2 linked regions of the Rhinolophus ferrumequinum genome follow. The protein of the gene in region 1 purifies or fractionates together with the protein of each later gene. This does not show direct contact. Links are inferred from orthologs where the notes say so. Each region holds a gene or a part of one and is shown on either strand. Other genes may lie near its edges.

Evidence for each region.
Region 2: the proteins of RETREG3 (region 1) and REEP4 purify together in Homo sapiens (affinity purification with mass spectrometry; 3 studies listed by BioGRID and IntAct, with this or other methods). This does not show direct contact. The link is inferred for Rhinolophus ferrumequinum from reciprocal best matches to the Homo sapiens genes RETREG3 and REEP4.

Annotation. Positions count from the first base shown.
Region 1 is NC_046304.1:38,319,628-38,327,218, reverse strand, and holds the start of RETREG3 (reticulophagy regulator 3), read left to right. Parts: upstream 1-4,583; 5' UTR 4,584-4,640; coding exon 4,641-4,879; intron 4,880-7,591. Other genes in the region: TUBG1 (tubulin gamma-1 chain), read right to left, coding at 1-28, 214-375, 459-611, 1,054-1,203, 1,301-1,387, 1,622-1,748, 2,144-2,223, 2,492-2,560 and 3 more. UniProt on the Homo sapiens protein: Endoplasmic reticulum (ER)-anchored autophagy regulator which exists in an inactive state under basal conditions but is activated following cellular stress.
Region 2 is NC_046301.1:44,281,924-44,289,346, reverse strand, and holds the start of REEP4 (receptor expression-enhancing protein 4), read right to left. Parts: upstream 3,009-7,423; 5' UTR 2,483-3,008; coding exon 2,451-2,482; intron 1,627-2,450; coding exon 1,554-1,626; intron 1,163-1,553; coding exon 1,086-1,162; intron 994-1,085; coding exon 873-993; intron 458-872; coding exon 344-457; intron 1-343. UniProt on the Homo sapiens protein: Microtubule-binding protein required to ensure proper cell division and nuclear envelope reassembly by sequestering the endoplasmic reticulum away from chromosomes during mitosis.

The DNA of each region.
Region 1 (7,591 bases):
CGTACTGGCGACAGGTCCGCTCAAAGAGCTTGGGGTGTGCAGAAAGCAGGGGTCACAAACAACCGAGGAACAACATGGCCCAGAGAGCCAGAGAACCATGGCTGGGCTATCTCCACAGTAAAAAAGCCAGAAGCAGAGCAGCGGGAATGCAGAGAGGTGAGGCACAACCAGGAAAATGATTATGGGAAAATAGGTGCACACCGTGAGACTCACCGAGGAGATGCTGGTGTGGTTGGCCATCATGAGCCCGCTGACCCGGTGGGCAGAGGGCAGGTAGGGAGACTTCCTTGACAGGGCCACCTGGATGCTGGCTGGGCCCCAGGGGATGAAGTTGGCCAACTTCCGTTCCCGGATCCTCTGCAGGCTCTTGTGGACCTGGGGTGGGCAGAGGAGTGGTGGTGGTCGCCTCTCCTCTACCCCTGCAGGTTCCAGGGGTGGAATGAAGGGGCCTCACCTACCTGAGTGGGGTCCACCTCCCCCTGGATAATGTTGAGGATGGCAATGTAGCAGTGGTTGGTCTGGCGATCCCGGCCGGTGGACACCATCACATTCTTGGGCTGCAGCAGCCGCCTCATGACATCCAGGACCGTGGTCTTCCTCACGCTGGCCACCTGAGGCGAGAGTGGGCCACAGGGAGCAGGCTAGCACTGAGGGCACAGTGCAGGGACGCACGGACAGACGAGTAGGCGGCACGTGCCCCCACCAGACTTGGGGCAGTATGGTCTCTTTGGGGAGTGTCTTTGGATTCAGTTCTATACCGAGCCCCTGCTGTGGGATCAGGAATCTGAGCCCTCCTCAGCTCAGCAAACTCATGCCCCTGTGCAGGAGCACACGCAGACCCTGTACAGCCCAGGCCCTGCAGGAAGCCAAAGGCAGAGGGAGAGAGGAGAGCGAGTCAGCAAGGAAGTCGTACAGTCTGTGCCAGTGCCTGAGCGCAGAGCCTCTGGGGGCTGCACAGGGCAGGTCCTGGGGCAGCAGGGAGAAGAGAAAGGCTAGCTCAGGGCCTGCGGGCCCAGGGCCAGCCTGGCCTGGGACACTGAGGGCCCTTCTTACCGACTGGTCCGTGGTGAGGGGGGTGTAACCAGTCATGAGGAAGTGGAGCCGCGGTGTGGGAATGAGGGAGGCGATGAGGCCGATGAGGTCATTGTTCATGTAGCCCGGGTAGCGCAGGGTGGTGGTGCTGGCCGACATGATGGTAGACACCTGGGGACCGAGGTGCCATGTCATGCGTCTTGCCTGGGGTGGCCTCCCTTCCCCAGATGGCACTCTGAGCCAAAGGAGTCCAGGAGTGGGGCCTCACCAGCTGATTGATCTGGGAGAAGGATGGGTTCTGGATGTGCAGGCGATCTGTGGCGATCCGGTTCAGGGCTGTGTTGTCCAGCACCACCTGGGGGGACAGGAAGAGGTGGCAGATTTTTGGGAACATAAAGAACATGAGCTCTGCCTGAGCCAGGGCTCTGAAGCTCAATTTCCTCTGAGCCTCATAGCCAGAAAGACCGATCCAAAAGGGATTTGAATAGCACTGGGGCCTAGAAGATCTCAAAATGAAAGTTTTAAGTGTATGAAAATGGTGAAACAGACAAGGGTATGGTAGTAGGAAAAGGTAGAATCTAGGACTCACCACACAGTCTGCGTTCTGGGTCAGCCTTTTGAGTGTGAGCAACGAGTTGTAGGGCTGGACCACCACGTCGCTCATCTCGTCCTGGTTGGGAAACACTGAGTATGTCTGCACCAGCTTCTTAGGGTACCTGGTGGGGATTGGGAGAAGAGAGTCAGGGTGACAGACTGGATGCTTGATACACATAGGGCTTCCAATAACTGCCTGGAAGCAGCTGAATCTGGACGGGGAAATTGGTGCTGGGCCATGGGATCAGTAGAAAAGGGAGAGGTGACTTTTGGAAGTCTGTAAGTTTCCCAAAGGGCAGAGAGACATCTTAGGATCTAGGGTTCTAAATCCAAACTGTCCATCCTCGCTGACCCTTCATCTCTCCACCTAGGACCCAGATTGTAAGGTCTGGGTTCAAGCCGCGGGGGTGGCTAGGAAGGCCCTTTCCTGCTCCAGTGAATAACAAGGTATATCTGAAGGGACTCTCAGTTACTTGGGAAACCAAGTCCTCCCAGGCCCGTCAAAACTCAGACGTACCTGTCGTTCAGCCGTTCTAAGAGGTAGGAGCCCAGGCCAGAACCTGTTCCCCCAGCAATAGAGTGACACAGCACGAAGCCCTACATGGGAAAGGGGCAATCAGTGTCTAGGTTAATCTAGTGAAAGGATTTCAAACTGGACCCATCCCACAATTTCTCAGACCCCTATCTTCCACTTTCCTGCCCCCACACATAGAGCTTAGGAGCCTGCCTTATTTCCAGCAAGGTCCGGTGGCTTCTGTCCAGTGCAAAGGGTACATGGGTGGTCTTATACCTAACAGATGGCTTCTAAAGGGTAATGCTGAGCCTTCCCTATGTCGGTTCCCACAAGTAGTGCTGAGACACTCACCTCTAGACTGTCACTGCCATCTGCCTCCCGGTCTATGATGTCAAAAATGTCCTCATGGATCTTCTCTCCCTGTACAGATATGGGGAGGGTCAGAGTGGGACAGGACCATGGGACAAGGACTCTGAGCTCACAATAGCGACCCTCGATTCTCCTTATAGCAGCGAAAAGGGTTTTTTGGAGCACAGGGGCCCTGCTTTTTATTCTCATTGAGAGACAGTATGGTACAGTGGTTAGGAGCAGGCACTCTACATCCAGACCGCCTAGGTTCATACATCAGCTCTAGTTCTATTTAGCCGAGTGACTCTGGGCAGGTTACCTATTCTCTCTATACTTCAGTTTCCTCATCTCTATAATGAAGGTATTAATACAGGTCCGTATACCCTTATCCAAAATCCTTGGGGCTTATGGTTTGGAATTCAAATATTTCATATTCTAGAAAGGTAATATGATACATATAATGTATTTTAAGCAAAATGCCAGCAGGGTCTGAGGTGCCCTAACCGAATACATCAATATTTCTGCAAAGAAAGGTATGAGTAATGACAATAAATTGGATAGAAATTATAAAATAGCCTGTCTCAATAGATTTGGTTTTGCTGTTAAATCGTCTTTTGCTTTCAGTTTTTTGGATTTTGGAAAGGTAGATAAAAGTCTGTGAACCTGTAGTACTTCTAGGGTTGTTGGGAGGTTTAAGTAAGTTAATACATATTAAGTACTTAGTATGGCCTGTCACACAGCACTAGCTAGTGTAATGTCTTAAGAATATTACATAGTTGACTTAGAGAAAAGCACTTCCCTCAGTCATGTCTCTCTCCCTCTCCCACTCATACATCCTCTATCTAATTTCATCTCTCTCTAGGAAGTCACTGGGCCTGTTCCCACACAGGAAGGGCATTGCGGGTCTTGCCAGGGAATAGCAAACGACCTGGGAGAATCCGCTGGCCCAGTTGTTGCCAGCTCCTCCTCCATGCTCCGACAGGTAGATGTTCTCTGGGTTGTAGAGCTTGGCATAGGGAGAGTTGAGGATGGAGTGGATCACCCGGGGCTCCAGGTCCAGCAACACAGCCCTGGGGATGTAGTGCTCATCGTCCGCCTGTCAACGGGAGTCCAGGAGGGGGCCCACTCAGCTGAGGCCTGCCCAGTCCTCGGTCCTCCCCACTCTGGCTCCTGCCTGCCCTCCCGCCTCAAGCCAGCAGCCCTGGCTCCTTTGCCCAGCGGGGTTTCCCAAGGCCACTGCCCATCCTTTCAGGCCCCCTGGCCAAGTCGCTGGGAGCACCTGGTAGAAAAAGACGTCCTTGCGGTCAGTGCCCTCGGTGGCGAATTCCTCCACGATGCCCTCGGGGCTGATACCATGCTCAGCGCACAGTTGTTTCCAGAACTCGAACCCAACTGGAGGGGGGAGGCGGGCGGAGGAGAAAGAGGATATCTAGGTCTGGGCAGGTTCCAACTAGGAGCTGGGGGACTGAGCGCCCGGGTCCAGGGATAGGAAGTCAAGGCTCAGCAGACTCCCATGACAGAGGAAATAGCTGTATGCCAGCGATTGGGCAGGGAAGGGCTTTCGGGGTTGGACAACTGAACACTGGGTCAGGCATGTCCCGCGTTTTGGAGAACTACGATTCTGGAAAGGGCAAATGGGAGTCCAGTATCCCACAGCAAGACCCCATTGAATCTAAGGAACCTGACTAGCGGAGGGGCCGGAGGTTCGCTCACTCTGATTGCCGCACTGGCCCAACTGTAGGGTGATGATTTCCCTCGGCATCGCTCTTCAGGCACCGGCGTTGCAGTCACTCCTGCTAGCAAAGCCTCCGTGCGCCAGCCCGCCTGCCGCACGACGCAGGCGCCAAACAACCCGCTCCGCCCACGAACTTTCTCCGCTCCAATGAGAAGTGAGTTCTGGCGATGGCACTTTCTTATTCATTTGGCTTCACTAGTACCGACTGCGCGTGCGCGGCACCGGATCGGGCTCGGAGCTGGTGAGAGGGGAGCATGGTTTGACGTAGCGTTCTGTCTGGGTGGAAGCCAACTAGAACCCAAGCGCAGGCGCAGTGTGGAGGGAAGCGGCCTTCCCCGGCCAAATCGCGCATCTGCGCAGTCGGTGTTATTGTGACTGTCGGGCCGCGGCCCCGGATGTGGTGGCTGAAGGTGGGAGATGGCGGAGGCAGAGGGGGTGGCTGGAGCGCCAGGCCCAGTTTCGGGGCCGACTTTCAGGGGCCGCGGCGCTATGTCGGGCTCCTTGGAGCGGGACCAGCAGGTTGAGGCGGCGCAGCGGGCCCTGGTGGAGGTGCTGGGGCCTTACGAGCCTCTGTTGAGCCGGGTGCAGGCAGCCCTGGTGTGGGAGCGGCCAGCCAGGAGCGCCCTGTGGTGCCTGGGGCTGAACGCGGCTTTCTGGTGAGAAACTGGACCCTCAGAACCCCTCCGCGGAGCGAATTCGTCAGGTTTCTTTAGGGCACTACCTCTCGCCTCACCTGTTTTCTTCGCTGCACTGGCTCCTTCCTATCTAATTTTGCCTCACTTCCACTTCATCCCGCCTGCAGGCTTTGGCATCGCAGTTCTCCGTAGGGCCTTCCAATTGTCTTCCCTCCTTTACCTGCTCCCGCACCCTCGCCCCGCACATCTGGATCTGGCAGGAGCATCTAGTAACGCCTTGAGCCGTCCGCGGTGAACGAGGGCGCCTCATTTTATCCAGGGAAAGCTGGGTCCCTTTAGGGCCATCACCTCCCTTCTCTTGTCTGCTCAAATGTGGTTTGAAGACTGTCTCTAGAGAGTTTAGTAGTTGTTACTGGGGTAGATGCGTGAGGCGTGAGGTCTTGGAATGGTATCCATGGGTGTGATAAGAAAACAAGGTCGATTGGTCTGAATTAGAATTAGCCCATTCACGGAAGTTTGTGAAGTCTGAACGTCAATGAGAGGCTCCAAAACTGCAACTTGAAAGTGGTAAGCTTTTAAAGAACAGTTGTGAAATAGTGATTGTGAGATTTCACCCGGTTGAAAACCCCTTAGAATTGCAACTCTCCTTGTTCCAAGGAATTGGTGAGAGGAGGCATCCTTAGCCGTGGCAGTTGAGGATGTCTCACAGTGCGTGTGAGTTTTCCTGAGCTGGGAGTGGGACTGTAAATATATTTTGAGACTCTGTATGTTTCATGCTCTGTGAAATGGAACTGTGGCTTCTCTCAGTTGTCATTACCTAAAGTGGACTTCGGTCTTCACAGGATCTGCCAAGCAGATCGAGGGAAAGATTATTGATCAAATTCCCAGGGAACTGACGTGTAGGGGTGGGGGTGCCTCTCCAGCTGAATGAAATAAGACTATTCTGGATAAAGCTGAAACAGAACAGTGTGTATCCAGCAATTTTTGGTTCTGCTAAAAATACTTTCCTCTTAAAATTCTTGGTTTTAAAATCAAAACGTAAACAAACAAACAAACAAACAAACAAACAAACAAAAAAACGTTTAGTATCCTTTCTCTGAAAGAAGGTTTGTCAGTCAGCTGGAGCAAAACAAATAATTCCACGTTCGTGATCAGACAGTGTTCAGCTATTAGGTTAATCCTCTCACAGTTTGAAGGAGACTCAAGTTAAAGTTGTCACAGTAGCCTCTGCCATTTGTTGCTTCCAGAGTCTTTAGCAAGCTTGATAATAAACTTTTTTTTTTTTTAACAGCATTCTTCTTCTTCTTTTGTTTTTTGTTGGTAGTGCTTCCTTGATCCCCAGTTCCTTAACTTCTCTCCTGTTGCTCCCTGTCAGGAACTCTGAAGTGTAGCACCTCATCCAGGAATGTTGACCAGAATGACCTTTTCTTCTCCTACCGCCTCCCCATCCTAACCCCTAACCCCAGACCATCCTGTCAAAACTTCATTCCCTACATTGGGATTGTACTCCGAGGAAAAAAAATTGGTCCTCAATAAACCAGTTTGTATCAAAGTGTGACTGGCTGATACATGAAAACTTTATCCGGATTGAAATAAACACCAAGGGTTTATTAATGCCGATGGATCAGTTGCATGTATGTTGTTATTTCTGGGACGGGGACTTTGCACATATCCCTTGCCTGAGAGAGATGTTTGAAGTGGAATGCAGGTGAAGGTCTACACGTAAGGAGCTGTTGTTCTGACGGAGCTACACCTTTCAGTGTTACAGTGTTAGCTTTAATGTTCAGGCCCGCAACAGTGTTTACGTAAGTTTATTAATAGGCCGTATTTGGAAGCTCCCTCAGATCCCCTTTTCCTACTCCTGGTCTCTTATTAAAGCATTGTGATGGGTCTTTATCTCTGGCGTTTCCTGGTAGCTTGCCTGCTGTGTCTCCAGAACAGTGCCTCTCGTGATTCCCATCATACGCTAAGTAGGTGGGGGAGAGAGAGAGCGAAATGAGGGTGTGACTCCTGAGATTGAAAGGGCAAAGGAGTGTGCCATTTATGGAGAAGACTCATACCTGTGAAGGGTACAGAATGACTGACAGTCCGGAGGCTGAGGGAGTTTGGCGCTGGAGTTCACAGGATTGTTTGTTTTCGGGAATGTGCTTTCTGGGAAGGTAGTTTGAGGCGCAGAATGAAAGACTTCACATTGCAGTAGCGTTATATTGAAGATGGGTGTCTGTTTACGTTTCAATTCGGAATGTCAAAGAGTGACAGTTTAATTCTTGGACATTTGAAGTGTTTAGGAAATGAAAGAGAAGAATTGGCTCAGGTCAGAGGAATCAATTCTGAAATATTTTTCTTTTATTATTGTTTTGAATAATAATATATCACTAACTGAGGTGTTTTATTCATTTTGAGGTATTATAAGATTGGGTAGGAGTAGAGAAAATCAGAATTCAGGTAGTCACTTTCACTGTTCTGTATTATCAGTGAAGGTTTTTCTGTACCTGTGAATGTGCCCTCTTAATAGAAACAACAACATCATAAAGGTAGAGATAGATGTAGATACCTCGCTACTATAGTATTTCAAGGCCTTCACTCTTGTTTTTTTTTTTCCCCCAAGTTCCAGAGAAATGGTGATCATATCAGAGATCTGCCAGCTTATATTGCTCCTGGTCACTGATATGTTATTATCTCTAGCATAATAACAGACATGTCAGGCCCCCCTCTCCAATTGCTTGTTTTTTC
Region 2 (7,423 bases), on another chromosome or scaffold:
CCAGGGCAGATGCCCAGGGAAATCAAGGGCTGACCAACAGGTAAACACCGGGGAACAGGCCTCAGAACTGAAAGCAACATGGCAACCTTCTAGCCCCAGGCCTTTATGGCACCAACTAGAAACTTAAGGACCAGAGAGCAGGAGCAGCCACTTGCAGTGTCCGAGCCAGGGAAGTACACACTTCCAGCTCCACGCTCTTGCCAGTACTCCACCTGTCACCTCTTACCCCTGTGCCGATACGGACAGCTGTTATCTCTCAGCACCCTGACAGAGAGCTGGACTCGCCCAAAAGGCACTGGTGGTGGGGAGGGGCTGCTGGAGGGCTGGGGCCCACCCAGGGCACCTTAGTGGCAGCCTGCACAGCGGCTGTCGCAGCAATGTTGAGGCCCCGCTTCCCAACGCTGAGCACCGTTTCATAGCTGCGCTCCTTGGCCTGCACGATATATGTGTCAATCTCCTGTAGACGAAGGCAGAGAGAGCTCAGGGGACGGCTCGAGTCACTCTTCTTCTGCAGACCCAGAGAAGCCACTGGCTGCCACGCCTCCCAGCCTACCCCCACCCAGTGGGCCTGAAACCACACCAAGAGCAGGGTTCCACATTCACCTAACACCCACTCCCACACCTCAATGAATGCCCGTGCTCCAGCCTCCCCCCACTCCCCGCCATCCCCAAACCAACTTCCAGCTGATGTTTCACACTCTCAAAGTCCACTCCCAGGGGCCCCCATTTGATTATCCCAGAAGCAGAAGAATGCTAGACTCTGTCAAGGTCACACAGGTAAATAGCAGCAGGATTGGGATTAGAAACCAGGTGTCCCCCTCTTTCTCTCACACCCACCCCTGTGCTTCCCTCCCTGCCTCCCCCTGGGGTACCTTCTCATGTCGGGACAAGGACGGGTGGACAAATTTGCGGTAAAGCAGGCTGGCCCCCTTGGTGTAGGGTGAAAGCAGCCACAACACGAAGGCCATCTTGAGCTCATAGTAGAAAGGGAACCTGTCAGAGCATAGGAGGGGCAAGATCAGCCAGGGAGTCAGGCTGAGGGTGGGTCATCCCTTCCCACTGCCCACACAGCCCTGCACCCATACCAGGAAATAAAGATGTCTGTGAAGATTTCCACCGCCATGAAGAGTGCAAAAACGATCCAATACATCATCCACCGGACCTGGGAGGGGGCAGGGAGGTCAGAAGCCAGCGACTAAGCCTGCAAAGCCAACTCCCCTGTCCTGGGCTGACCCAGCCCTGAGATGCCAGAGAGCCTGTCCCGCTGCATTCTCTTGGCATCTGTATAGCCCTAGAGACCTGCCTCTGAGAAACTGCCACTCATTCCTGTACCCACCCCCAGTGGGCTTCACCCCTAAGGTCCTGCGCAGGCCCCCTAAGAGCTCATCCTCCACCCATACCCACTCTGCTCAGGATCCAACAGCCGATTATGCCCCTGGAGGAGGGGGAGGTCAGCTCAGATTGTCCCCATCTTGCCAAGTCCTACCATACCCCCCAAGGCTGTCATCCCACCCCTACCTGAGCCAAGCCCTCCTGCCAACCCCCATACTCACATATTCACGAATGTTCTTGGTCTTTACAGCCTTGTAGGAAGCATAAGCTGGGTACAGCATCCCAAACACCAGCCTAGAAGAGCAGCCCAGAAAGCAGAGGGGGAATGTGAGGGGCACCATGACCCTCCCATCTCCCCACAGGTGGCCACCTCCCCCACAGGTCTGAGGTGACAGGGCCTACCCTGTTCTTCCCGCTTGGCTTGCACAACCTGCATCTGAGTCAGTGCCCTGGAGGCCACCTCCCCACCCTGCTGTTTACAAACATCCCAAGCCTGCCCAGGCCTGTGCAGTGGCCCATGGGTGCATGATAAAGCCAGAGCACACACAGCCACTCAACAAGGCGGGTGGGAGACAGTCTTGTGAGCTGGTGAGAGCACCAGGCTGTCCCCTCCCATGGACATGCAATCAGGTTCAGGGCCGCCAGACCTGGCACTGCCAGGCTGCAGACAGGGATATTCAAACCAGGTACTATGTTTGAAAGGTGAGGAGGACAAAATGGGGAGGTGAGGCCAGGATGGTGAGTCACGTGACTGCGCATATGGGAAGCAGGCACCTGGATTCTCCGCCCACAACATGCCACGACACCTTGTGTTTGCCAAGGGGCTTAGGGCCAGCCTGTGGTTCTCCACCCCACGCACCTGTCTGCATTGTGTGTGAGTGCAGAAAGGGTCGACATCAGCCAAGGAGGCTTTGGGCGCTGGGGAGACAAGCTCGCGGTGCCGGGTGCCGCGTGCATGCCCCAGCCCGCAGATCCGTTAACCTTTGCGGTGAGTGTTGGGGGGGGGCGGTTGTTGTGACGGACCTCAGAAAGTCCCGTTTAGCACCTGACGTTCCCAGCTTCCACCCCAGGGGCGGGCTGGCACCCGGGGAGAAGGGTGTGAGAACGGCCATACTCACACCACCAGGCGACAGATCATCCAGGACACCATCCTGCAGTCTCAAGGGCGAAGGGAGCCCCCAAGAAGACGCCCCGAGAGACGCTCCGGCGGGGCTGGGATGGGGGAATCAGCAGAGGTGCAGGAACCAGGCAGGCGCTCAGGCTGCCCCTTGGCGGAGGCGGAGTTCGCCGCCCCCTAACTCCGCAGTGCGGAAAGACCAGCCTGGCTGGGGCGAGGAGACCAGAACACCCAGGAACTGACTTGGAGCGGAGGCCGGCGGGCGCGCTCTTCCGCCCCGCCGCGCCGCTGGGACAGTTACGGCTCCGACCCGCACGTCCTGCTTCGGAGAACCAGGGGTTCTGCTCTCGGCCGGGCGCCGCTGCGGGTACCAGGCAGAGGGTGGCGGGTCGTGGCCTCCTCTAGTGGGAGTGCCCGGGTCTCGCGGCGCCCTGCCTCCGGCACCGGCCTTGGGGCGGAGTTTGCAACTCACTTGAAAGTTGCACGGAACTGGGATCTGCCCAATCCCAGGGCTCCTGCGCGCTGCGCAGGAGCAGTGTGGCCCTGGAGGGGGCGGGGCGAGGTCAGTGAGGCGAGCGGCCTGCCCCTTAAAGGGGCGGTGCGCCTCCGACTCGCGGGGGGCGGGGGGCTAACCGTAGCTGCCGTCCTGTTCCGAAAGGTTAAGGGGTAGGAAGCGGTAACCAAAAAGGTGGGGCTGAGGGAGGAAGAAAGGAAGGAGTTTTGGATTCCAGCGTTCCGGGGCTCCTTCAGTGGCTTCTCCTTAATGTTTCGTTTTCCCCTCAGTTAAAATGGAAAGGGCACGAGATGAGTGTAGGTCCCCTCTTCGAGGCTCAGGCACAAGCTGGAAGAAGGTTTAGCTGAGCAAATCCAGGTCTTACCACACTGGGTCAGGAGCTCAGGATGGCCTCAAAGATGCCGAGCTGAGTAGAGGGAAAGCCGGGGTGGGGCGAGGGAACCGGAGGGACTCAGCACCCCCGTCTGCCTCACCCGGAAGAGCGACTTTCAGGAGCTGGCTTCTCTCCGGGTACCTTGCCAGAGCCCGCAAGGCTGGGCAGGCTGACCGCGAGGATTTGAGAGATTCTGGGCAGGGCCCCCAGCTCCCCATGCCTTCTTCACCAGAAATTTGAAATTCCGCCTATTCCTGGGAGCCAAGAATACAAATATCCTTGAGAGCTTAATAATATCACCGACTGCCATCTTGCAGTGCATTTTTGTATGCAGGGTCTTGATTTTTACAAAGATCCTTTTTTTACCTTGTAGGGAATACGCTCAGTGATGACAAGTCATTTGCCCACCAGCACCTGGTGGCATTTGTTGCTGGTCGGTGGATAAATGCTTGGCTGGATCAGTCTTTTTTTTTTCCGTGTGGCTTTGGGAGGGGACGGGAAACACAGACAGACGCTTCTCTGGGAGGGAGGTGTACACCTGGATGATGGTGGGAGGCTCAAAAGAAAAGGCAAACGCTGCTGCTTCTACAACTTGCCACATGGGGTTGCATTCCGTGTACCTCTCCTGCTTGGTGCCTCCTTCCTCCCTCTAAATGGGGAGCACAGCATCCCCCAGCCTGCCATCCCCCCACAGCCTCGCCTCTGCCTCAAGGGGCTAAGGGGAGGGTGACAGCAGAGCTGCCCAGAGCTGTGGGGGCAGGAAGTGGGCAGTTATTACTTTTTATTGGAGCCATAGTTAACACCCACCACCCCTCAAAAGGATGGCATAAGTAATGATGGGGGCCAGGGAAAGGAGGCTTCTTGGGAATAAATTAAAACACATTGTGATTATACTTAATTATTATCATCAGTTTTATTGGTGTTGCTGAGTGTGAGAACTAGCAGTGAAACTGGCCCTCAGGAGAAACTCCCTCGAGGCCCTGCCACCTCCCTCTCCCTACCTAACCACCCCCTCCCCTGGGCCTAGCTCCCACCCTGCATTGAAGGAACAAGAAATGCCAAGGGCTAGTATCCCACCATCCATCTCTAGGCACAGTCCTTGGAGCAGAAGGGTGAGACCGGCTCAGTAGGGGACTAGCTCCGGAGGAGCGGGGTAGAGGTAGGGAATGCAGAAGACGGAAGGGATATTCTTTCTTCAGGAGGTAATGGTACCTGGGCCGAATGTGTGCATGTGCACCTTGAGTCCTTTGGTACCTGCCACAGAACCGCCTTCTCCCCTTGTGACCTTCCAGGGTCATAAGCCTGACCTCAGCATCACAGGCCTCTCTCTACCCCCGCCCCCGCCCCCCCATTCATCGGGGAAAGCTCCTCTGTGTCAGCTATAAGCCATCCCAGCTGGGACAGTCTCTCACATGGAGACTTCTGGTCCCGATAACTGTGCTTGGGAAATCTAAGGGACAAGTTGTGAGGAGTTTGCAGCTGAGAGCAGGGCCTAGCATGCAGGCGCATGACGCTGGCAGCTGGGGGGTATCATCCTCCTCAGCTTTGACAGAGTGAGTGGATTCTGCCTCCCGTGGCCTTTGGTCCTGAGCTGTTGACACAGTCACCTGGTTACACTGGGTTGCTAAGCAGCTCTCTGGACACACGGATGACCCCCAGGGCAGATGACCAGGCAGGCATAAAGTAGATTTCATTCCCCATGTGCAGAGAGCTGGGCATTCAGGGAGAGAAGTGTTTCCTATCCTTGGGAGTAGCCCGAGGTGGGGGTGAGGAGAAGACAGTCAGAGTGATATTTATCTTGCTCCTGAGCGACAGGCTGACAACGGGTCCGGGAGACTCAACTCACTTTCCCTGGCAACCTCTCCTTGGCACAGCGTGAGGGCCCATTCCCCATTTGAACAAGCAGGAATTCCCAGAACAGTATGGCTGGGGGACCCAATGGGGCGCCTGCTAAGCCAAGGGCACTTGCATATGGTTTGAGGAAACGGAAACCCAGACACATCACCTGTGAGATTCTCCATTGTGATGGGTGGTCAGGAGCAGGGTTGGTTGGGCATCTGAGACTACAGGTAAGATGTGGGGTACGGGGGTTTTCAGACCAAGGGTGGATAAGGAACCCTAATTCACAGACAGCAGTTCTCCCTAAAGGGCACCCTTCTCCTCTCCCACAAAACAGCCTTCTCTGTGCTACCTCTGTGTCTCATATAGTCCTACAGACCAATGAAAGTCATACTTCTGTGCCAGACATACTCTTTGAAGTGTCTTGCGTATATTAATAGACTAGCTATTGAATGCATTTAAATTTCACACTAACCCTGTCAGTTAAGTATCATGGTTCTCCACATTCTACAGATGAAGAAACAGATACAAATAGGCTAAGTGATGTGGTTGAGGCCACCCAACTAGCAGGTGGCCCAATCAAGATTCGACAAAGTAGGATTTATCATCTGTGTTGCAGAGGGAATTCAGGCTCCGGGAAATCAGTCCATTTGCTTGACATCTCACACCCAGAGCAGAGGGTGGCAGTGATAATGGATATTTACCCAGCAGAGGGGGTGGGGAGGAAAGGCACTGCTGACCTTGTCCTTGGTCATGTTGATTGGAGTGACCTGACAGGGGGACAGACTCCAGTTTCAGTGGCCCCAAAACTGTGATCTCCAGGAAGGAACATTTGGGCCATGAGTCAGCTCCAGGTGGTGGGGACGAGTCACATTGGCCTAGTGTCATCACCATGAACTCCTGACCCCAGTACCGGCTGACCTTGCGGGTGTCCACTCACTCCTCGGAGGGAAGGGGGCAGGGAGGAACAGGGTCTGAAAGCCAACGCTTTCCCCCTGGGAGCAGCAGAGACAGAAAAAACACACTCGGTTCTTAATGAAACAGCTACTGCTGACTGTTGCCACTGGACACCTGAGCGCTGGCAATGGGGTGGGAACTTTTTATTTGAAGTAAGTGAATTATAGCATTGCACCCAAGTGCCCCCAGCATCCTGCCACCAGGAGCCCCTTCCACAGTCTGGGCACAGGGAAGAGCCTCCCTTCCCCCTGCCTTCTTTACCCGCCTTGCCCCTCCCAGCTATCCCCAGCACACAGCAGAGGGCAGCAGAAGCTTGGCTCCCAGGAGCCACTCCATAAGGCCCTCACCCCTCTACCACTCAGCTTGCACTGAAAGGCGAGGCCCCTGGTGTGTGCCTCTGTGGACTGGAGGGGTGCCAGGTTCCCCAAGATGCTCTCCAGCCCAGCTCTACTCCTGGCACCCACCCACATGGTTCAAGTGCTTGCAGGGCCCCTGGCCTGACCAGCTCTTGGACCCATCCAAAGGAGCCAGCACAGCTCAGGGTCCACATCTCAAAGGCGGGGCTGAACCAGGGGTTGGGGATCTGAGGTTGGGACAGCTACAGGATAGCAAAGCAGACAAGCTTTTGTCTGGGTGGCCTCCTGTCCATGGGGCCAGCATCAGAAAAGGAAAATCCAGGGAGAACAGAGCCAGCACTAGGAAGAAGTCAGGGTCTGCTGGGGCTGTTGTTACTGCTTTGGGCAGAGGGGCTTTGCCACCAGGAGGTCAAGATGGTGCCCAGAGGCTGGCACTACTATTCCCATCCTTATCAGCTGCAGGGTGTGCATACCAGGGGTGAGCAGAGGAGGACGGTACTATGTGCCCCCTCCAAGAAGAGAGGCAAGACAATGATGGGGAGCCCCTTTCAGCCGGGCTGAATCTGCATATGTGCGAGGGAAAATGGGTGTGGACAGGTGTGTGTGCGTGTGACTGAGGGTGCGGGCCAGTGTCCGCGTGTGCATGCAGGAGGAGCGGAGCGGGGGTGAGTGTGCCCACCGTAGGAAGGATGTGGTCGTGGCTGCAATGTGGGGTATAAACAGGTTAAACAGACACCTGGAGCACCAACAGGAGAGACCAGAGGGTCAGAAGGAGTAGCCCAAGACCCTCCCTCCCCGCACCCCTCCCCCTCTCCAGGCTAGTGCATGTGGAAGGCAGCAGAGCGAGGGGGCCTGCAGATGGGGTGTGGGGTCCACAGGTGTCCACAGACAGAAGGGCCCCAGGCACTGGATTTCCTGGGGCATCTATGAGTCCT